Rattus norvegicus: one gene and its partners. The protein of the gene in region 4 interacts with the protein of the main gene of each other region in a pairwise test. Links are inferred from orthologs where the notes say so. Each region holds a gene or a part of one and is shown on either strand. Other genes may lie near its edges. The genes, in order: Kifc3, Ndn, Usp2, Nefl, Tex11 and Skil.

The links.
Region 1: the proteins of Nefl (region 4) and Kifc3 interact in binary tests that used the Homo sapiens proteins (3 or more experiments, as listed by UniProt). The two-hybrid records come from large-scale screens. The link is inferred for Rattus norvegicus from reciprocal best matches to the Homo sapiens genes NEFL and KIFC3.
Region 2: the proteins of Nefl (region 4) and Ndn interact in binary tests that used the Homo sapiens proteins (3 or more experiments, as listed by UniProt). The link is inferred for Rattus norvegicus from reciprocal best matches to the Homo sapiens genes NEFL and NDN.
Region 3: the proteins of Nefl (region 4) and Usp2 interact in binary tests that used the Homo sapiens proteins (3 or more experiments, as listed by UniProt). The two-hybrid records come from large-scale screens. The link is inferred for Rattus norvegicus from reciprocal best matches to the Homo sapiens genes NEFL and USP2.
Region 5: the proteins of Nefl (region 4) and Tex11 interact in a two-hybrid assay, tested with the Homo sapiens proteins (2 studies listed by BioGRID and IntAct). The two-hybrid records come from large-scale screens. The link is inferred for Rattus norvegicus from reciprocal best matches to the Homo sapiens genes NEFL and TEX11.
Region 6: the proteins of Nefl (region 4) and Skil interact in binary tests that used the Homo sapiens proteins (3 or more experiments, as listed by UniProt). The link is inferred for Rattus norvegicus from reciprocal best matches to the Homo sapiens genes NEFL and SKIL.

What each region holds. Positions count from the first base shown.
Region 1 is NC_086037.1:9,907,659-9,911,158, reverse strand, and holds part of Kifc3 (kinesin-like protein KIFC3), read right to left. Parts: exon of another isoform or gene 3,014-3,500; coding exon 2,832-3,013; intron 1-2,831. UniProt on the Homo sapiens protein: Minus-end microtubule-dependent motor protein. Involved in apically targeted transport. Required for zonula adherens maintenance.
Region 2 is NC_086019.1:125,259,920-125,263,158, forward strand, and holds Ndn (necdin), read left to right. Parts: upstream 1-1,139; 5' UTR 1,140-1,206; coding exon 1,207-2,184; 3' UTR 2,185-2,739; downstream 2,740-3,239. UniProt on the Homo sapiens protein: Growth suppressor that facilitates the entry of the cell into cell cycle arrest.
Region 3 is NC_086026.1:53,327,870-53,331,369, reverse strand, and holds part of Usp2 (ubiquitin carboxyl-terminal hydrolase 2), read right to left. Parts: intron 3,148-3,500; exon of another isoform or gene 3,050-3,147; coding exon of another isoform or gene 3,029-3,049; intron 1,103-3,028; coding exon 1,052-1,102; intron 233-1,051; coding exon 109-232; intron 1-108. UniProt on the Homo sapiens protein: Hydrolase that deubiquitinates polyubiquitinated target proteins such as MDM2, MDM4 and CCND1. Isoform 1 and isoform 4 possess both ubiquitin-specific peptidase and isopeptidase activities.
Region 4 is NC_086033.1:46,476,049-46,480,129, reverse strand, and holds the start of Nefl (neurofilament light polypeptide), read right to left. Parts: upstream 2,801-4,081; 5' UTR 2,736-2,800; coding exon 1,689-2,735; intron 758-1,688; coding exon 633-757; intron 250-632; coding exon 1-249. UniProt on the Homo sapiens protein: Neurofilaments usually contain three intermediate filament proteins: NEFL, NEFM, and NEFH which are involved in the maintenance of neuronal caliber.
Region 5 is NC_086039.1:69,999,045-70,002,544, forward strand, and holds part of Tex11 (testis-expressed protein 11), read right to left. Parts: intron 3,337-3,500; coding exon 3,187-3,336; intron 1,733-3,186; coding exon 1,624-1,732; intron 468-1,623; coding exon 347-467; intron 1-346. UniProt on the Homo sapiens protein: Regulator of crossing-over during meiosis. Involved in initiation and/or maintenance of chromosome synapsis and formation of crossovers.
Region 6 is NC_086020.1:114,200,773-114,204,867, reverse strand, and holds the start of Skil (ski-like protein), read left to right. Parts: upstream 1-1,295; 5' UTR 1,296-1,343; intron 1,344-2,896; 5' UTR 2,897-3,570; coding exon 3,571-4,095. UniProt on the Homo sapiens protein: May have regulatory role in cell division or differentiation in response to extracellular signals.

The DNA of each region.
Region 1 (3,500 bases), on a different chromosome or scaffold from region 4:
AACGGCGTTTTCTGAAGAGATTTTGAAAGGATGCCAAACAGACCAGTCTTGGACAGGAAAAACGAAGGTGGAAGTCTGTACCTTGACTTCAGGGCCACAGCAATCAGAGCAGTGCGGCTCAGGCAGAAAGGCAGCCATGAGGATAACAGGGAAGCCGTGGGGGGGGGGGGGGCAGAGTGACCCTCACATATGTGTCCTAATGATTTTTCAGTGTGCAAAGACCATGCAATGGCAAAGAATAATACTGACAACTGGTGTTTGAACTGTGTCTCCACATGTCAAGTAATGAAGCTGGGCCCTCACCCACACCGCCGAGTAACACGCAGAGAGAAGAGCAAATGGACTGAAGACCCAAGCACAAGGGATCAATGGTAAAACTCTTAGAGAGAAAAACGTCGTGACACTGAATTTGGCAGTGGATTTTTTTGATATGGCCCCTAAAGCACAAACAGTTAAAAAGACAAAAAGTTAAGTGCTCTTTACAAAAATTAACTTCTGTATTCTTCAACTCAAAAAAAAAAAAAAAAAAAAAACAAAGGTATAGGGGTGGGAGACATGATGTAGAAATTAAAAGCACTGGCTGCTCTTTCAAAAGATTTGGGTTTGATTCCTAGCAACCACATTGTGGCGTGCGTGCGTGTGTGTGTGTGTGGGGGGGTATGTGTATTGTGTGTATGGTGTGTCTATTGTGTGTTGTGTGTATGGTGTGTCTATTGTGGTGTGTGTATGTGTGTGTGTGTGTGTGGTGTGGTGTGTGTGTGTGTATGTGTGGTGTGTGTATTGTGTGGTGTGTATGTATGTGGTGTATATGTGGTATGTCTAGTGTGTATGGTGTGTCTATTGTATGGTGTGTGTGTGTGTGCGCGTGTGGTATGTCTAGTGTGTGTGGTGTGTGTGGTGTGTCTATTGTGTGTGGTGTGTGGTGTTTGTATGTGTATTGTGTGTATGGTGTGTGTATTGTGTGTATGGTATGTGTGTGTGTGTGTCTGTGTCTGTGTGTGTCTGTACTCCAGTCCTGAGGGATCTGATGCCCTCTTCTGGCCTCTGCAGATATAACGTGCAGTGGCACAGACATGCGCAGGCAACACACACACACACATAAATAATAAAAGTAAAAAATGACACATAAGAAAATAGCATCACGGGCTGGAGAGATGGCTCAGTGGTTAAGAGCACTGACTGCTCTTCCAGAGGTCCTGAGTTCAAATCCCAACAACCACATGGTGGCTCACAACCATCTGTAATGGGATCTGATGCCCTCTTCTGGTATGTCTGAAGACAGCTACAGTGTATCCATATACATTAAATAAATAACTCTTTAAAAAAAAAAAAAAAGAAATAGCATCACAGGTAGAGAGCTTCATCTATCACCCCTGAACCCAAAGCCATCGAGCGAGTGAAGACAACACCGAGTGTGAAGGAAGTGCTCACCAGTTACTGAGAATGAAGGGTTACCATCCAGAAAACACCTACAACTCAACCACATCAAACTGCCTGGGCTAAAACAATGAAGACCCTGGCCATGTGGCGCACACCTTTAATCCCAGCACTGGAAGGCAGAGGTAGGTCTCTAGGAGTCTGAAAGCTTGAGGCTAGCCTGGTCTACACAGGGAGTTCCAGGACAACCAGAGCCACACGGTGAGGTCCTGTCTTTTAAAAAATGAAGGGGGAAAAAAAAAGCAAGGAAAAGAGAGCCACGTCTCAACATTAAATAAACAAGAACAAAGAACGAAGCCCTACACTATTCTGTAATCCCAATTCTGGGCATACACACCAAAGAACTGAAAGCAGGAACTTCGGTGTTGGTAGCAGTATTACTCACCGTGCCCAGAAGGTGGCTACTATCGACTGTGACGTTCATGGTGACAGCAAGATAGACAGGTCTAGTTAGTGAGTTCCAAGACACACTAGGCTAGATCGGGGAGCTTATCTCAGAAAAACCAACAGCCGACAAACAAAACAACAAAACCCACAGTGAGGTCCAGCGACAGCCCCCTACAGGACACCACACTTTATAGTTCATAACCATCTTCCTGTCCACTCTTACAGCCAGCCCATCTGATAGTCATCAGCCTGGTTAGAAATCAGAAAATGGGGCTCACAGGACTGACAACATTCCCTACAGCCTCACAGCCAAGACAGCCTCAGACAGCTATTTCCAGAGTTCCAGAGCCACATCTGCCCCGACAGGTGCTAGCACATCTGGATCCTGTTATCTGTCTGCAGATGAGGAAAAGAGGCGCAGACTGGTAGTTATCTAGCCCAGGACTAGTAAGTGCTCCCAGACAGTCAGGGTTTACTCACAGCTCCAGGCCCAGGAGGCTGGCCATGTCTCCACAGGGTTGGACCCTACAGAGCACAGCTAATGGGTACAGAGCTACAGGGATCATCCCTTAAGAACACTGTAATAAACACATAGTCAAAAAGCTCACCAAAAAACCCCAAGCAGAGGCTAGGTACCGGTTTGAATCCGTAAGTCATCTGAGGCCTGAGGCGTCAGGTAGGTTGGGCGTCCTCCTTACAGGTGATGAGCGAGTGGGGCTAGGGAGACCAGAGAGTCTGGGCAGTTCACTTTCAACTCCCCCCCTTAATAAGCAAGTAGATTTAATCAATTAGAGAGGAAAACCTTTTGGCTGGGAAGATACTGAGGTGCTAAAGGCCCTTGTTGCAGTAAGAAGCCAAGTTTGAACCTCCTCGCCCTGCAGCATCTTCCTAGACCAGGAAAGGGTCACCATCTGGCTTCTGGTGGAGTCTAGGTACCCTGACAATGTCCTCTGACCTGCTCCAGAGGGCAGTGAGTGGCCTCTGCTCATCCCTGCCTCCCCAGGTACCTGGTTCTGCAGCTGGGTGGTTGTGGCTTGCCGGTCACTGTCATGGAGGGCCAGCCTCTCCCGAAGGACTACCAGCTCCTCCTGAAGCTGGGACATGGCCTCCACGGTCCTATGTACCACGGGGTCTGGGCCTGGTGACCCGGACAGGCTTGAGCACCTCCCGATGCCAAGGAGCCGCCCACCTACAAGCAAAGTAGTGGCTGATCAGCAGGACAGTGGAGGTCTGCCTGGAGGAGGAAGGCAGCCATCACAACAAGCGCACCATTGGGGCTAGGGTGAGGACTGAAGAATACAGCAAAATGGGTTTGCAGAGGACCTCCGGGTTGTCCTCTGGGGAAGTCACTTTAGCAAAAGTTTCTAGAGGACAGAACTGACTAAACCAAGACTTAAGAAAATAATTTTTCCTGAGTCCCCTCAAAGTAGGAAATTTGGCCTGCACTCAGGCGATTTCCTGGGAAAGAATAGAGGCTTACTCAGAAGTGGCTCTCCATGCTCATTCTCGATCTCTCAAAAGCACAGCAGAGGGCTGGAGAGATGGCTCAGTGGTTAAGAGCACCCGACTGCTCTTCCAGAGGTCCTGAGTTCAATTCCCAGCAACCACATGGTGGCTCACAACCATCTGTAAAGAGATCCAATGCCCTCTTCTGGTGTATCTGAAGACAGCTACAG
Region 2 (3,239 bases), on a different chromosome or scaffold from region 4:
GTTCAGGTTACCTCCTCTCAATCTACATTTTTTATTTATGAACACCAATATGCTGCCTCTCATTTATGAAAGAATGTTAGATATTATCCAAAAGAATTGCATTTGAAAGATATTGGGAAAGATTTGGACGTGCGCCCAACATGGAATTAGTCATTTGCTAATGACGTAATGCAAGACGTGGAAGATTTCTTATAAACATGAAGATGTAACAGCAGTAAGCAGGGGGAAAGGGCACTGGGAGTGCATGAAAAATACACTATCATAAAATGTGTATTAATAAACATGTTGATCATTTCCCACTAGATTCTTAAGGGAATTTCTAAATGAAATCAAAGTGACCTAATAGAAATGCAGAGCCCAAATCCATAGTTATTAAAATAATTGTAAGCCAACAAACTAAGAATCCAACGATGAATGAATACATATAAATAATTTTATATATCTGTTTTGTTCATGTGGGACCTGGGGTTTAAACTCAGGTTCATGCTTGAACTGCAACAGCTCTTGCCCACTGAACCAAGTCCCATTTTAATTAAAATTTTAGACGCACATCAATTATGTTATATGAATCTACTTCTAAAACATTAAATTCTCACATGGATTGATTTCCAGTGTCTGTAACTATACTTTGCATTCTTCCTTGTTTGATACTGCTCAGATTTGTAACGATTTATCTCTATTAATAATTTCTCAACATTCTGATATTAGACAACACATCATCATCATCATCATCATCATCATCAGGTATGACTTTCCAAGAAAAGGTTATTTTTGTCTCTCCTATTCTTTTGTGGAAAACTCAAATTCAAGAATTAGTCTTCTTCCTCCAGGACCTTCACACTTAACTCAGTGTGTCGGAACTTAACTTCACCATCTCAGCTATATCTTTCTCCTTCAACTTGTTTCTTTCCCCACTATCACCCATCTCTGTCCCATACAGGAGACCAGGAGATCCTTTTCATAATACTAGTGGTACCCTCCCTTAGACCCCAGTGGTTGGGCTTTGCTACTTCGCTCCTATCCAGCCCTACCACCCTTCTGGCTTCCCACTACGCATGCGCAATATAGCGTCTGCCCCGCCCGGCCCGCTGCTGCGGAAGGCGCAGTGCTCAGTAAAGCGCACTTCCTCTGCTAGTATCCACTGAGGCAGTGCAGGCTCCGAGAGCTCCGAGTCGCAGCGGTCCTGCTCTGATCAAAAGACGCAGAATGTCGGAACAAAGTAAGGACCTGAGCGACCCTAACTTTGCCGCTGAGGACCCCGACACTGAGATGCAGGTCAGCGATGCTGTTCCGGTGGGGGTCCCTCCTCCCGCTCCTCTGGCCGCGAACCTCTCAGGGCCATCGTGCGCTCCGGAAGGCCCTATGGCAGCCCCACAGGCCTCGCCACCACCTGCAGAACGGTTTGAAGAGGTTGACCCTAAGATCCTGCAGCAGGCCGCAGAAGAGGGCCGCGCCCACCAGCCCCAGAGCCCAGCCCGGCCGATCCCAGCACCGCCGGCCCCTGCCCAGCTGGTGCAGAAGGCGCACGAGCTCATGTGGTACGTGTTGGTCAAGGACCAGAAGAGGATGGTCCTCTGGTTTCCAGACATGGTGAAAGAGGTCATGGGCAGCTACAAGAAGTGGTGCAGAAGCATCCTCAGGCGCACCAGCGTCATCCTCGCCAGAGTTTTCGGGCTGCACCTGAGGCTGACCAATCTCCACACCATGGAGTTCGCCCTGGTCAAAGCACTCAGCCCAGAAGAGCTGGACAGAGTCGCGCTGAACAACCGTATGCCCATGACAGGTCTCCTGCTCATGATCCTGAGTCTCATCTATGTGAAGGGCCGCGGGGCCAGAGAGGGTGCGGTCTGGAATGTGCTGCGCATCCTGGGGCTGAGGCCCTGGAAGAAGCACTCCACCTTCGGAGATGTGAGAAAGATTATCACCGAGGAGTTCGTCCAGCAGAATTACCTGAAGTACCAGCGTGTGCCCCACATCGAGCCTCCCGAGTACGAGTTCTTCTGGGGCCCCAGAGCTAACCGTGAAATCACCAAGATGCAGATCATGGAGTTCCTGGCCAGAGTCTTTAAGAAGGATCCCCAGGCTTGGCCTTCCCGCTACAGAGAGGCTCTGGAGCAGGCCAGAGCTCTGCGGGAGGCTAATCTTGTCGCCCAGGCCCCCCGCAGCAGTGTCTCTGAGGACTAAAATGTCCAGGAGCACATTGATAGTTTCTGACCCATACTAGGGCTGTGTAAGGGTGGGGTTGGACATTAGAGTATCCCAGATTCATAGTGCAGTATTTCATGTATAGTTTTTAAGTTTTCCATCCAGTGCTTTTTTTATCTTGTAATGCAATGTATTCAGTTGTGTACTCGTGTAGTGTTTAAAATTGATGCATGTGTGTTTTATAAGTGAGCAAGTTGGTACTTTCACTTCTGTGCTTTCTTGGATTTTTGTACAAGAGATGTGCTGTGCTAAACTTGTGAAATACATTGAGGTGTTCTGTATCTTGTTCTTTGAATGGGACTGATGGTCCGTATCGACAAAGAAGGCCCTGGAGAGTTAGCAGGACTTAACAACAACACAGACCTGACCAAGAGAAAGGTCAGGGTCCCTCTCCATATGACTCCAACTGGCACAGGAAACATCCATGTGGAATGGACTGATTTGAACTGGACTGTTTTCAGTTTAAGCACTTAGCACACTTTGCAAAACATGTATCCAACCCCACCATAAATAAACTTTAAAATGAGCATTAAATATACCGTGAAATAATTTCTTTGTTTGGGGGGGAGGCATTTATTTTGGTGAAAGGGGGAATGGGAGTGGGTAGGGATGAGAAAGATTCTCCCCGTGTACAACATGAGCAAGTATACTTCTAACAGAGTGGGAAAACACCACTCATAACCACTCAGAAGTTTTTTGAAAATTGTGGTGCTTCAAGAAATTGGTCACATTAAAGGCGTGATAACAAAAAAAGGCATGTTCACATAACGTGGGAATAATAACAGGAATTATGTAGGGACTGTCCCTTTTCTGTTTTGTTTTGTTTTGTTTTTTTGTTTTAAATAGTCTTTGGTGGGCACTTTAACAGAATGAAATATTGCTACTAAACCCTCGTTGTGCATTTTCTTCTTTATTTTATCCTCCCACCAGCCATAAGAAGTAAGGAATGACTGTATCAGCACAAAGCAAGAAAAATGAAAGGATGCTGGTAATGAAATACCCTAAAAATCATAGACCTTATACTGGAGTCTTGA
Region 3 (3,500 bases), on a different chromosome or scaffold from region 4:
AATGGAGGGGTGGGGGTGGGGTGTCTACCACACAACATCAGTCCAGCCTGGTGGACCAGGAAGAGCTGAGAAGGGCAGCAGGATCCACGCCCATACGGGGCTCCTCACCTTCCATGAGAGCTGTGTGTGCACTGCTGGTATGGCCGAGGTCCCGCATGTACAGCCTCTGGAGGCAGTAATCTCTCAACTCGCGGGTGTTGCTCAGACACTGAAGAATTGAGTTCATGAAGCACTAAGAGAGATCATCCGGCAATAAGTGCGCGTGCACGGGTCTGGGTTTTTCCTAAGCTGTGTATTCCCAACTAATGGCACTATTGGGATGTGGTGGCAACTTGGAAGAGATGGGGCCCAGTGGGAGGCTTTCAGGTATCGGGGGCTTGCCCTGAAGAAGCCTGAAGGACCCCACTCTCTTCCTTTCCCTTGTATCCTGGCCACAAAATGGTTTTGCTTTGCTATACATGTGCTGTCTGCCTTGTCACAAGCCCAACCATACAAACTCAGTCTTCTTTAGGTGTGCTTCTCTCGTGTATCTATCGTAGGGGAAGCTGACTAACAACACTGTGATGGGGTACAGACCCTCACACAGCACCTCTATTACCTGCATCTAAAGGTTCTCTGTTTCTTCTACCCAAAAATGAACTCACTCACAGCTCCGGGTTCCTCCTTCCTGAGTGAAGGCAGGGCAGAGTGAGGCAAGGCCCCAGTATGTGGCAAGGCCATGTAATTGGCTATTTCCTATTAAGGTGTACAAAGGGGTGTGGGCACACACACTGGTCAGCAGTGGGGAGGGAGTGATGGGAACCAGGAGGAAGGTCCAGGAGAGCAGCAAGCTCGCAGTGACAAGGGCAACTTCCTTTTAGCTGTGCTTCCTGCTGGGGGCGGGTGAGACAGAGTCCTGCTATTCACTGAAACACCAGCCAGGAAGGGCAGGTGCTGACTGCCCTCTAGGATAGGAAGCTACCTTGTGGAGTCAGGGAGGCCTCTACTAGATTATCCCAGTCAGGAGAGGAGGGGAGGGCTTCAGGAAAGAGCTGAGTTGGGAAGAACTTACCGTGTTCCCAAGGTTTCGAAGACCAGCCAGACCCTGGGCACTCTTTGAATTCTGTAAGCAAAAAACAAGTCACATGAAGGTGAGGGTACAGCCCTGGGTCTGTACAGTTCTCACCCAGACTTTTCTTTCAGCCTCGGTCTGGGCCTTGGAGAAAAAAAGCATGGAGGAGTGCCTATTTTCAACACACAAACTTTTCTTCGGGGCTTTGCGGTTTTTATGTATTTCCCCATCTTTTTGTTGTTTTGAGAGAGGGTCTCACTAGGTAGCCTAGTGAACGTGTGGCAATCCTCCTGCCTCTGCCTCCTGAGTGCTGGGGTTACAGGTATGAGCTACTACACCTGGTTTCTTTATATTTTCTACTACACTGGAGACTAAAGATTAGAACTAGAGGCTAGGGGCTCATAATTTCAGGAATACAGTCAAGTCCTTGTTGAAAGAAAGTCCAGGTCAGACATGGTGATGAAGGTCTGCAATCCCAGCACCTGGGAAGCAGAGTCAGGACAATTAGGAATTCAAAGCCAGCCTCAGCTACATCATACATAGTGAACCCAAAGGCTAGCCTCAGCTATATGAAAAAAACAGGGGTTGGGGATTTAGCTCAGTGGTAGAGCGCTTGCCTAGGAAGCGCAAGGCCCTGGGTTCGGTCCCCAGCTCCGGAAAAAAAAGAACCAAAAAAAAAAAAAAAAAAAAGAAAGAAAGAAAAAAACAAAGAGGTTTCATAGCTCAAATCCAGGTACTATTTCAAATGACCTACATTTATACCAGATGTTCAATATATAAAGGAACCACCATGATTTGCACTTTAAGAAGTTTAAATGACAAATCACTGAGTTTCCATCTTCAGCTGGGGAAAACTCAAGCTGCCTGCCACTCTCACTTGCCAGAGACAGGTGGAATTCTTTGCAGCTGAACTCAGCCTCTAAGGGCTGAGCCCAGGCGGGAGGGAGGATCCTCCCTGCCTGTCTCAGGTTTCAACATCCCGGACTAGCCACTGGCACCAAGCTGAGGAAGCACCTGGCTGAAGGTGCCACTCTTGTCTCTACTGTGGAGGCTGGTGAGGGGGTTGGAGAGAGAACAGGTGTGAGACTGCAGGCACTCAGTGTTATTTGTCAAGGTCTCTTAGGTAATCCTGGGCACACCTCCTGAGAATCAGAAAACCTTCAGGCTCAAAGGGTTAAAGAAGCAGTAGCTGAGTTTGTGGTGAGTCTGCCACCCCCTCTTGGAAAGGGGGCCTCGGAACAGGCAACTCTGGAGCAACACTGGCTGGGGCATGCGTGGGGCCGGCTCAACCCTGATCAGAACAGGAGCCTGAAATAACTCAGCTAAAATTACTCATGCCATGTGCTGACAGCCTATGAGGCTGTCAGCGGCTCAAAGCTCAGGAGACTGTCAGCTTGAAGGGAGGTGGGGAGAAGCAGGCCGAGGGAGGGCTTTTCTCAAGCAGAGCCAGGCCCCTCCCACAAGTAATAGGATCCCTCTCTTGGTCAGTTGTCAGCTCAGACTCTAGCAGGTAGAGAAAAGGTACCCAGAAGAGACATACTTTAAACCTTTCGCTGGAGGGAAAGCCCGGGGCAGCATACAGGGTGTAACATCCTCCACTGCCCTGGCCTGCAGTGCTAACCTGACTTGGCCCCCAAATAAACTGTGAGTCCCACCACTGGGTGTCCTAGTTCGGCAGTAGACGGCTTGGCTAGCATTTGTAAGGTCTTGGGTCTGACCCCTGGCAATGGCAAAACAGCAAAATGCTGACACCTGTGATGGGCCCTATAAGTGGGCTACCACAGAGATAGTCCCTGGGGTCAAAGACCTTATCAGAGATTTGGATGAAATGTTAAAAGTCTCCCTTTTCCCCAGAGCCCAGCAAGAAAGCACCACAGCAATCTTCTTCATGTTGCCCGCTTGGAGGCACCCATCGAGGTGTGCCCACACACGATGCCCACTCACACCTGGTTTCGGTAGCTCTTTACTAATCCTTACCCCCTGTGCCCGAGACGACATCGGTCTAAACAGGCTGTAGAGACAGAAAGCATCCTACCACCGGTGAGCATGTCCACATCCACCAAGGCGGGCTCTCAACTCAGGTACTTATCCCAGCACTAGTGAGGGTGGGGAAAGGGAGGGGTCACCAGTCCACAGAGGCACTCCTGCTTCCAGGTGGGAAGTGTATTCACCCTCCATGGTTAGTACTCTAGTCCCAACGCTTCTATTGGCTTGAGGGCAGAAAGGTGAGCCCCCCCCCCCCAAACACCATTAGGACCCTCTGCTTTGTGTGTGTGTGTGTGTGTGTGTGTGTGTGTGTGTGTGTGTGTGTGAGGAGTCATGTTCTTATCTTAAATTTCCTCAGCTCCAAAACACTTGGCAATTTCTTCCTTCCTTTCTTAGACATGGGGTCTCACCATACATCCCTGGCTAGCCTCAAAGTCACTATGTAGACCAGATGCCCTACCTC
Region 4 (4,081 bases):
TCAGAGGGGGGCTCATCCTTGGCCTCCTCAGCTTTCGTAGCCTCAATGGTCTCCTCCACCTCTGACTGCTCTTCCTGGACGTGGCTGGTATAGTAGGCTGGGAATGCTCGAGCAGACATCAAGTAGGAGCTGCTCTGCAAGCCACTGTAAGCAGAACGGCCAAAGACCTGCGAGCTCTGAGAGTAGCCGCTGGTTATGCTACCCACGCTGGTGAAACTGAGCCTGGTTTCTTCGCCTTCCAAGAGTTTCCTGGTGGGGAAGGGAATGAAGGGTACAGTTAGACCAACAATGGATGTGTTCATGACTTGCTCTAAGCACACATTCATTATTTTTCCCCACAACCAAGGTCAAAGGCAAATACAAGGACAAACAGGGTTAGGTACCATCAAGATTTAATAAGGAGCTCATGATAGAGCCCGCCCAGAAAGACCTACTAGATTTAAAATATGAATGCTAAGAACAAGACTTATGTTACATCGGGGTTAACTCCTTGCACATTTGTACCGTCTTGGAGGAACACCAAAGCAGGACTAATCTAAAACACTGTGATTCAATATAACTCTGCACTGACTCTGGGTCATCTGCTCCGCCCTGAGCTGCCATGCCCACTGCCCAAACCATTCTGATGTTACCTGTAAGCTGCAATCTCAATGTCCAATGCCATCTTGACATTGAGGAGGTCCTGGTACTCCTTCAGGTACCTGGCCATCTCGCTCTTCGTGCTTCGCAGCTCATTCTCCAGTTTGTTGATTGTGTCCTGTTGGAAGATCGTTTTCAAAATTCAAAACACAAATCTCTACTGCATTTGTTTTACTGTAGTATTCGTGCTAAGTCCTGGCACTTAGTAACTACAAAGTGTACACCTACAAGAAATAGGGGGGGTGGCCTAAAATGTTCAGTCTAGTGATGTAAGAGAAGAGGAAGAAGAGGAGGGGAGTAGACTGATATGAGCAATTTTGAAAATTGTCCTCAATCTATTGATTATGGTAAACTGTCTTTTAAAACTACCCAATTTATAATTATTATTATTATTATTATTATTACTATTATTATTAGTCATACTTCTTTTAGCCAGGTCACATTTGGGGAGGGGAATGTGTGTGTGTGTGTGTGCATGTGAATATATGTTTGTCTAAATAAATATATAAATAAAAATAAAATTGTATATTTGTCTAAAATGCTTTCCACAACTCTATTTCTTCTCCCCCAAATATGAAGAACTTATTTTTTTAAATGGATATCAGTGATTAATTGATATAAAATATTGTGACTGTATTCTTGTGTCCCTGTTAAAAACAAAACTATCCCAAGGCTGGGTGAGAGAGAGCTAGCCGCCATATTTATTAGCCAGGAGATCCAGGAAGTCCTGAGGGTAACTTGGAGTCAATTAAGGGTTGTCAGTAGAGAGTAGGCATTAGACTGGTGGCAACGCCCAACTTCAACGCCCTCCGCCCATTCCTCCCAACTCACCCCTAAGAACACTGATTCAACCAGAACAAGCAATTCCCAAGCAGCAGTCGCGCCCCGCCCCCTCCAAATGCCCCATCTTTTCCACATCTCTGAAGCCAATCCCTAGGATAGCTGCTCTGTGCTCTAGGACCCCCTAGCGTTCACTCTCTGGATATACCTTGCACCCCCACCCCGAGTGTGGACCTCCCCGCTCCCACTGAGCTTAAACCCTGCCAAACCTGCATGGCGCTGATGTCTGCATTCTGCTTGTCCTCCAGCTCCTGCAGCTGCTTCTCTAGAGCTTCGTTCATACCCCGGCAGGCTTCGATCTCCAGGGTCTTAGCCTTAAGTAGGCGGCGGCTTTCCGACACCTCGTCCTTGGCAGCGCGCACTGCGTCGGTGTTCTTGGCGGCGCTCTCGGTTAGCACCGTGAAGCGGCTCTTGAACCACTCTTCGGCATTCTGCATATTCTTGGCGGCCAGCTTCTCGTACTGAGCGCGGATGTCCTTGAGAGCGGCGGAGAGGTCGGGCTTGGAGGACACGTCCATCTCCACGGAGATCTGAGCATACTGGATCTGAGCCTGCAGCTCGGCGATCTCTTCCTCGTGCACCTTTTTCAGGAAGGCTATCTCGTCCATCAGGCTGTCGATGCGCTTCTCCAGCTCGGCGCGGGCGAGCGCAGCCTCATCCGCGCCTTTGCGGGCTTCCATCAGCCGGCCCTCGGCGTCCTCGCGGCTCAGCACCTCCTCCTCGTAGCGAGCCTGCAGGTTGCGCAGAGTCTCCTCCAGCCCCTCGCGCTCGCCCTGCAGCGCCTGCTTCTCGTTAGTGGCGTCTTCGGCCGCCAGTCGCAGATCACGGATCTCCTGCTCATACAGGGCGCGGAAGCGGGAAGGCTCTGAGTGCTTCTGGCGCAGCACCAACAGCTCGGCTTCCAGGACCTTGTTCTGCTGCTCCAGCTCGTGCACGCGCTCGATGAAGCTGGCGAAGCGATCGTTGAGGTCCTGCAGCTGTGCCTTCTCCTGTGTGCGGATAGACTTGAGGTCGTTGCTGATGGCGGCTACCTGGCTCAGATCGAGGTTCTCCAGGCTGGGCATCAAAGAGCCGGAGCTGGATGAGTAGCTGCGGCGCACCGACAGAGAGGAGGAGACGGGCGCGGAGTAGCTGGAGTACGCAGAGCGCGCCGTGCTGTAGCCGCTGCGCACGCTGGAGATGTGCACCCGGGGCGTCTCCACGTAGCGCCGCTTGTAGGAGGTCGAAAAGTACGGCTCGTAGCTGAACGAACTCATGGTGGCGGTCGGTGCGCCCCTCAGGCCCGGGGCGGAGATAGGGGACCTAGAGAGAAGAACCGGGGAGAAGAGGGAAAGGGAAGGATGGATGGCTGTGTGCGGCTCTGGGCTGTCCTGCCACCTCTATTTATACGCCGGGACTCTGACGCAGACTGTGATCGATCGCGTTGCGCAGGCCAGTGGGGGCAGCGTGCTGCTGCAGCCAAGGGGAGGATTCTGCGCAAGAGCAAAGGCGGGGGCGAGCGACAGGAGGCTAGCGGACTGCGGCTCCCGCCTGGCCGCTTTTCTCTGAGGCCCCCTACTTTCTCTGAAACCCCCATAACTTCCCTGCTCATTCCTTTCCTACTCCCCCGACCCATCCTGCCTGTCAATACCTAAAACCCGCCTCACTAGGACCCTTAAAATTTCCAAATAATAGGTCCCTACTGACACATCAACTTTTAACATCTAATGTCACAAAGACACCCTCACCCTACCCCAGTCCGCCCCTGGCTCGCCCTTTCTGCCTCAGGGACCCTCTCAAGCACCGTGATTCTTATTTAAGGAGCATGGTTGTAAGGCCAGGGTGGTTAGGTTACTGACAATAGTTTAAGGTTTCGCCCTTGCGACATTCCTGCAGGAAAAGTTTTGCATGCCTTTGTAGCTATTTTCTGACATTTTCTTGAATTCACCCCCCTTTCTCCTGCCTTCTTTTATTTTTTCTTTTTTATTTCTTTCCGTATAATCTGCTTCTCAATACATAGGGGACGGGTACCGCTACACACACCCTTGGAACCGCAGGATAGCGGGTGTTCATTTTGACATTTTAAAACCTTTACAGCAGCTAATTTGTCTGGCGCCTTCCATAGAATTTCCCCTTTCTTTATGGGAAATGAAGTCTGGAATGCTTAGGACGGGTTGAAACTAACCAGGCAAAGATTTGCAAGGCAAAAGATGCGCTCTGCTGCGGGAGAACTTCAGGGTGCCTGTATGCTACCTCCACCGCATCGAAAGCCTCTTCCCCTTTTTAACACCTGTGTGGTAGCCTAATCTGATGGTTTTGACAAGCCATGTAGGTTGGATGGAGAGAGAGGGAGGGAAGGAGAGAGGGAGGAAGGGAGTGAGGGAGTGAGGGAGGGAGAGAGAGAGAGAGAGAGAGAGAGAGAGAGAGAGAGAATGCTGCAAAGTGCTACCAGCTCTGGGTGTGGTCTTCCGGAAGAGAACTCAGCGTGGAGCCTGCTGAAACAGCCTGCTGAAATTCACAGGTAACGGGTGCCCTTAGGAAGCTACCAACTTCCTTCAGGATACCCAGGTAGCAGAGTGGGTACGAAAACGCACATGGGTGGAACGTTTTCATACTGCCGTTG
Region 5 (3,500 bases), on a different chromosome or scaffold from region 4:
CCTCTGAGATATGGTGGGAATAATAATAAGCCTTTTCACAAAATTAATATAATCATAATGGAAAGAATTATATTAGGTTCCAAAAATATAAAACAATTCAAGATGCTTACTGGTCTTGTTTTTCTGACACAAACCTTAGTTAGTAAGCTTATACTAGAAAATTCTTACCATTAACTATTTATATTTTATAACTCGGAGATACTTTGAAGTGGATATCTACATTGTAATACAAATTTATCATAAAACTCCTATCAGAAAATATCATTCTATATGAAAACAAATATGCAAGACACTCTGGTTCCTTCCAATAGTCTGCAACTTTACTATTGCCTGCTCTTTGACTTACGGTTTGGCGAATGAGACTCAGAGCACTTTTTAAATGGCCCCAAACTTCTTTTAGGGGATACAGTGCCATATTCCATCTTCTATCTGACACCAGAAGGTCAATCAAGTTGTGCATGCATACACTGAAAAGTAAAAAGAGACCAGTCATCTGTAAGGAAAGAAATTACTGGCCTGGTTAAGAGAAGTCAACTCTGAATCTCATCTCACACTGAGAGCTCTTCCTCTGCTCTGTCTTTCATTTTGATCTTGGAACCTTAGAAGACAGAATTTTAAAGATGCAAAAGGGGCTGATTAGTCCTTCCTTTGATGTTTGTGGTTGGTTGTCATTTTAGACAAGTTTATATCCCTCATGAAGGAATTGTTCATTGTTTTTATTTGTGTGTGTGCACCACACACACACACACACACACACACACACACACACACACACACACACACACATACACACGCTTGAACAGAGGTCAGGGGACAACCCTCCAGAGTTGGTTCTCTCCTTCCGCTACGTGGGTCCTTGAGATTGAACTCAGATCATTAGATTTGGCAGCAGGGACCTTCATCTGCTGAACCATTTTGCCAGTTCAATCATGTCATTTTCATATTTTATGAGCTGATTCAATTTATGGGCATTTAAACAATAATGCTACCTCTTCAAAGGGACAAAGGAATTAAAATTGGATTTAAATTGACAAAAAAAATCTTACTTCTCAGAACAGAAAGACTACAATGAGTTTTTCCTGAAAGAGCAAAACCATATAACATTATTGATACTTAAAAGTACTAGGGGAGGGGTTGGGGATTTAGCTTAGTGGTAGAGCGCTTGCCTAGCAAGCACAAGGCCCTGGGTTCAGTCCTCAGCTCCGAAAAAAGAAAAAAAAGTACTAGGGAAAAAACAGAAGAAAAATATAGGAAAAATGTTTAAGTTGAGTGGTAGCTACCAATTTATGATCATGTGGGATACTTAGTAAATGACATGAAGGAAGGAGTACATAGTACTATTTTATTATATGACTAGAACAATAAAGGAAAGCAGGATGTACCCTTCTTTTTCTCTCCTGGGAACAGAAGTCTTGCTTACTATTCTCCAGTGTGCAATATAATTTTCACTACAGAGAACTTTACAGGATAATTTTCCTATAATCTTCTATGTTAGCTCAGTTGATTATAGTGGGTGACTAATGGGATATTGACTAGAGGGGTTTTTGTTGTTGATTTTGTTTTGTTTTTGTGTTTTTTGGCTTCCACAAAACTTAATTTAGGTGTCAACTTATATTTACTAACCTGTATCTCAAAACATTAATTGGCACTTTCCTTCTATAGATCAATAAAAGTTTTTTCAAGGCCTTCTGTGCAATAGTAGGATAGTGTGCAGGTTTATCCATAGCTAGTGCTGTAAGAAGAGAAGGAAAAAGCTTCTGAATGCCACGTTATCTTATTCATTACAGTTTTCAAGCAGGACTAGAACATGCATTCTCTAATGGAATAAAAAGATTCTCTCTCTCTCTCTCTCTCTCTCTCTCTCTCTCTCTCTCACACACACACACACACACACACACACACACACACACACACCAAATTTGATAAAATCATGACTCTATAGAAGCTTTGAGAGAGCCTCTCATTTCTTTCAGGTTCCATTCATTCTTCAACAATGAGTGACGGAAAATCTACTGTTTCTGTAACCATGCACAGTCTTACAGGTGATGCAACTATATTATGAACCACAGTGAAGGAAAGGCAAGCTAAGAAATAGAAGCAGATCAATAAAAAGCTGCTAATCAAAGCCAGACAACAATCTGCCATATACTTGTTTTCTTGTTGCTGCTTCTTCCTGATGTGAAAAATAGGCTTTGGTATTGCTGCCTTAGAGAGTCTAGACGTGTCTAGGCCTTCCAGATGCGGTCAAGAAGCCTATAGAGCAGTCCCACTATATAAGGAGTGGTAGTCATAGAGTATGCCTCATTGGTCCAGTTCTAAGAAACCCAAGGCAATTGTAGTATACTGGAGGCTCCCTAATACCTTCACTACCCATGCTCAAGCTCTTAAGGAAAGTTACAGGCAAAGGGGAAGATAATCAGGGTATTTCCAGCAGTAAATTCCCTAAATGGCTTTGAGGCTCATAAGTCCTATAGCATAGCTTAAAGATTTTGAAAATTGCACCGTGTTAAAATATTTCCAAATTTCTAGGGGCTAGTGAGGTGGCTCAGTGTATAAAAAGGTACTTGCTACCTAGCCTGATGACCAGATTTCAATCCCTGGGGCCTATATGCTGCAAAGAGAACTGCCTTCTGTAAGTTTTCAGCTAACCTTCACACATGTAAACACACACACACAACCATACACACACACACACACACACACACACACACACACACACAGAGAGAGAGAAAGAGAGAGAGAGAGAGAAATTCATAAACTTTCCAAATTTCTCCATACATTTTAGTAAATTACTAAGGCTGAGTCATCTTTGATCATCAATGTAGCTATTTATCATTTTTAGCTACCTACATAAAACTAACTTTCCAAAGTTTGAGCTTCCCCTATCATGCCATTACGTAATTAAATTCTACATATAGACTTCATTTGAGCACCTATTATGAGCAATGCTCTTCACTAAGATTTATTAGTATAACACATAAAAGTAATTATTGCTCATGATCCTGAGATTACAATCTTGTAGAGTGAAAAAGATAACTATATAAATGATTTTAATTCAAAGTAGTTTAAGAATGCATCAGAGAGTGAGAAACAATATACTATGAAAATCATCTCAAGGTCAGAAGAGAGAAAACAGTAGGATCTAAATGGGCACTGGCCTTGCACAGGTATAAATAGAGCACTTACATGCCATTATTTCAAGTGTTCTGCTTTCTAAACCAGGCATCTTCCAAACTGATTGCAGAAAGCTGTGCAGGGATGGATCATTGGTTTTGGTTTTAACTTCAAATTCATACAGCAGAAGCATTACCCCACAGTCATCACCTGAGAAATCTCCTAAAGGAAAGGGAAAGTTTAACATTTTCTGTTACTGCAACACTAATCCTCTCTCCTATCCTATCCTAACTGGACAAGTTTTCCCATAAGGAAAAATTGATTTCACTTAGTTTGAAGGCCATCCTAGTCTCCATTGATAAACTTTCAACATTTTAATATCTATA
Region 6 (4,095 bases), on a different chromosome or scaffold from region 4:
AGTTGAATATTCGAGCTATCCTGGGTACGTTGGCTAGGAAGTCCCCTCATCCACCCCCGCCGGCGGTTCGAGGTGGCAGCCGAAAGTGGTTATCTTCCCCCACCTCTTACCGTCTCTGGAAAAAAAAAAAGAAAAAGAAAAAAGAAAAAAAAAAAAAAAAAAGGAAAAGCCCGAAAACCCCAACCAAAGTGCTTAGTGAATTAGAACCGGTCACTTTATGGAGGACGAGAGCAGCTGGGGCAGCAAGGTCTGCCCCGGCGGTGCTGAAACCTCCGCCTCCCGGGCGATGGCGGCCCGGGAGGCGACCGGGTGAGGCCACCCCAGCGCGGCCAGGCGGGGCTGATCGCCAGCAGCTGGCAGGGCGGCCGCGGCGGGAGGCCCCACGGGGGCGAGAGGCCCCGCGACGTCTGCGCGCCGGCGGGGGGGGGGAGAGCTGGGGGAGGGAGCGCGGGGGGAGCACGGGGGCAGGTGGCAGCGCTGAACGGGGAGGGTGGCAGCGCGGGGGCGTCTGCGCGGCGGGCTCAGCCCGGGGGTCGCGGCGGGGAGCCACCCGCAGGCTACCTCCGGGGCGGGGCCAGGCGGCCAGCTGCGGCCGCGGGGGTGGGGGGCTGTTGGCCGAGTCTGACCTCGGGCGCGGCCAGCTGCCGGGGTCGCGCACAGTGCAGCCCGCCGCGCCCTACCCCCTCTCCGCCTTCTCACCCCCGCCTTGCCGCGCGGCGGCCCAGCGGCCAGGGCGCCCCCAGGTCTGGCCCGTCACCACACGGCGGCGGGCGTGGCGGGGGCGGCCCCAGACAGCCGGCTGGGCGACTCGAGGAAGGAAGGAGGGCGGCGGGGGTGGGGCCGAGGGAACATCCTGTCTGCGCCGGGCACCGCAGACAGTGCCGTGCGCCAGCCGCCCAGACGGCGCGCCGGGCCAGCCAGCAGCGCGGGGCACGCGCGGGAGGGGGCGGGGGAGCGGGAGACCGGCGCACGCGCGTGCGCGGCGGAGGCACCAGGCGCGCGCCCCGGCCAGGGCCGGAGAGGCGCGCGCAGCCTGAAGCGCGCAGACCGCGAGGAGCCACAATAGGGCAGACGGCGCGCGCGCTCGAGGGACTGGCTGGCGCGGGGCCGCGCGGCGCCGCTGGCTTAGTTCCCTCCCCTCCCCCGCCCGCCGCCCTCGCTGTCCCCCGGGCGGCCGGAGACGGCGGCGGCGTCTGCGGGAAGCCGTGTCTCCGCAGTGACGTGGGCGGGCCGCGGGCCGGGTGACGTCAGAGGCTGTGTGTAGCGATGTGTGTGGGGTTCGGAGCGGCGCCGGCACAGCGAAGGCGGCGGGCGAGCGACGGCGACGGCGACGGCGGGCACAGGTGCGGCCGCAGGTCGCGAGGGGACGTGAGGGGCGTGCGGCCTCTGGGGGCGCTGAGGCGGCGGCGGGGGGGTTATGGGGAGGCCACAGAGCCCGTGGGGCTGTCCGGGCGCCGAGGGCCTGAGTGGGGCGTCCGGGATGCGTGGGGTCCCGGGCGGGGTCGAGGGCACAGGGCGCGCGGCGGGGGTCCCACGGGTGTACAGGCCTCGCAGATTCTAGGACGGGTCGGCTGGGAGGGGATGGCGGTGCACTTGACCCGAGCCGCCGGGACCCGGGAGACCTGGACACCGGTCATCGCCGCCATCCCCCGGCCGTCTGCGCTCGGCGGGGATGCCTCGGGCTGGCCCCATCTCTGAGCGTCCAGCGACGCAGGCTTCCGGGCTTGGCGCCCAACCTGCCTGCGCCCCTCTGGGTGTTACGGCTCAGGGTGGGTCAGTGGTGGGGAGGCGCAGCCCTGGGGCGCAGAGGTAACCCCAGAGAACTTCCCGCGGACCGAGTGCGTGGGGGATTTCCACCGGCGGCCCCCGCAGTGGGGCGATGTGGGGAGGGCACTTAGGGTGATCCCGGTCACAGAGGTGGGGGTTGGGAGGACTCCTACTTCCTCTGCCCCCTCTCACCTCACCAGACGTCGGGAGTCCTCTGCTTCCCGGTCCTTCGGGTTGATGATGAGTGGGTGTCTCTGCGTGTGCGCAGGGCTGCGGGGGCGCCCCTGGTCTAGGTCATGCCTCCTGCCCTTTTCCTTGGCTCGCCTTGGCTGAGGTGTCCCTGTAGTGGCGAAAGTCACAGTACGGTGGCTAGGTGGCTTTCGTCCGTAATTCTCTGGGTTTGTGTTAACATAAATTGCTGGGAGTTTAGAAGCAAAGGTTTTTATTTATCGGCTTTTATTGGGTTTTCTCCAGGGAGGGAAGTGGATGAATACTCTTTTTCGCCACTCTGCCTCCATTTGCATTCTTTGTGAGGTCTGTCTGCCTTGTGCTTTTTGTCCCGGATTAGTCTTGCTAAAGGATGGAGATTTCCAGGCATGGAGTCTTACAGCTTTTGGCTTCCATTAAGCAAATTCGCTAACCTTTTAAAGGGAAAGTTTTTCTTCTTCTTCAATTTAAAAAGATAGTATATATTGACTAGATGAATTAATCTGCTTGAGACTTAATTACATATGGTAGGTATATTAACATGTATCTTTTGCGGGGTGGGGGGAGAGCAGAAACTACAGGGTTCTTTTTTCTGAAGAGAAAGGATTACTTTTTAAAATTTAAATGGCATGCATAGTTGAGAAAGCCTCTGCTACTGCGTTTTGGTTATCCGTATTCTAAATTTGTGTACTCTTCCTTGTTTGGAGAGATATTATTTAATGCTCCTGTTACCCACGGTCTGGACTGCTTCCTATTTAGATGAAGTTTCTTTTAGATAACTGGTGTTAGGTTGGAAGAAACCACCCAAGTGTTACCTTTGGCAAAGTGAACTGAGTTTAAGATTAAGAAACTGGTTTTAAACAGACCCTTTGGCCTCTGGAGCTAATTCAAATGTAACTCTCCCCACCCCTTTCTCTTCCAGATCAATTAAAAGAAGAATGAACTGTAATCCCTGAAGATAAACTGGGCAGCTTTTTTACTTAGTGTATGTATATTGCTAATTATAAAAGTTCAGGTGGAGCCAGGCTCCTGCTGTGTGGAGATTTAGACAAGTCTTCAGTTTGTCAGCACAGAGCCACAGACCACCATTTTCAGTGAGGATACCTGCCTCTTCTTTTTTGGTGTTCTTGGCAAAAACTAAAACCATTGCATCATTGTAACTCGTGTTTGGGTGTAGTTTCAGGATACAGTCATGGCATAAACTTTCCACATGCTTTGCTTAAAGAACAAAACCAACCAAACTCAACCACTATACCAAACTTTGGACTTCTTGAACTGAGGAATTAGCTTTATTTTAACATAAATAGCTGAAGTGCTCAAGAAAACAAGACTTTTCTCAGGGGTGTGCTGACAATTATACCCTTTGTTATTAGAAGCGAATTGAGAAGTTTTGTAGTATTTTCAGTTACATCCTGAGAAACGGCTGAACCGAAACAGAGTTGTACAATCTATTGAGCAAGAAAATTCATCTTTGGAAACTAAACATTTCTAAGTGAGTCACAAGTATTTGTATACGTTGCCTTTTTCTCTTCAAATTAGGAACTGAGAACAACATGCCAATTGAAGACTTAATTATTTAAAAACACCGGTGTGGCCATGGAAAACCTGCAGTCTAATTTCTCCTTAGTTCAGGGTTCAAATAAAAAGCTGAGCGGGATGGAGGATGATGGCAGTCCTCCCGTGAAAAAAATGATGACAGACATTCATGCCAATGGGAAAACGCTGACCCAGGTGAAGAAGGAGCATTTGGACGACTACGGAGATGCGTCAGTGGAACCAGATGGCGAGCACGCCAAGCGCAACTGTCCTTCTCTACCTGAAACTTTAAATTTAAACCCCAGTCTGAAACACACACTGGCACAATTCCATTTAAGTAGTCAGAGCTCTTTGGGTGGACCAGCAGCTTTTTCTGCTCGATATTCCCAAGAAAGCATGTCACCGACTGTGTTCCTGCCTCTTCCGTCTCCTCAGGTTCTTCCTGGTCCTCTTCTTATTCCTTCTGATAGCTCCACAGAGCTCACTCAGACTGTTTTGGAAGGGGAGTCTATTTCTTGTTTTCAAGTCGGAGGAGAAAAGAGACTGTGTTTGCCCCAAGTCTTAAATTCTGTTCTCCGAGAATTT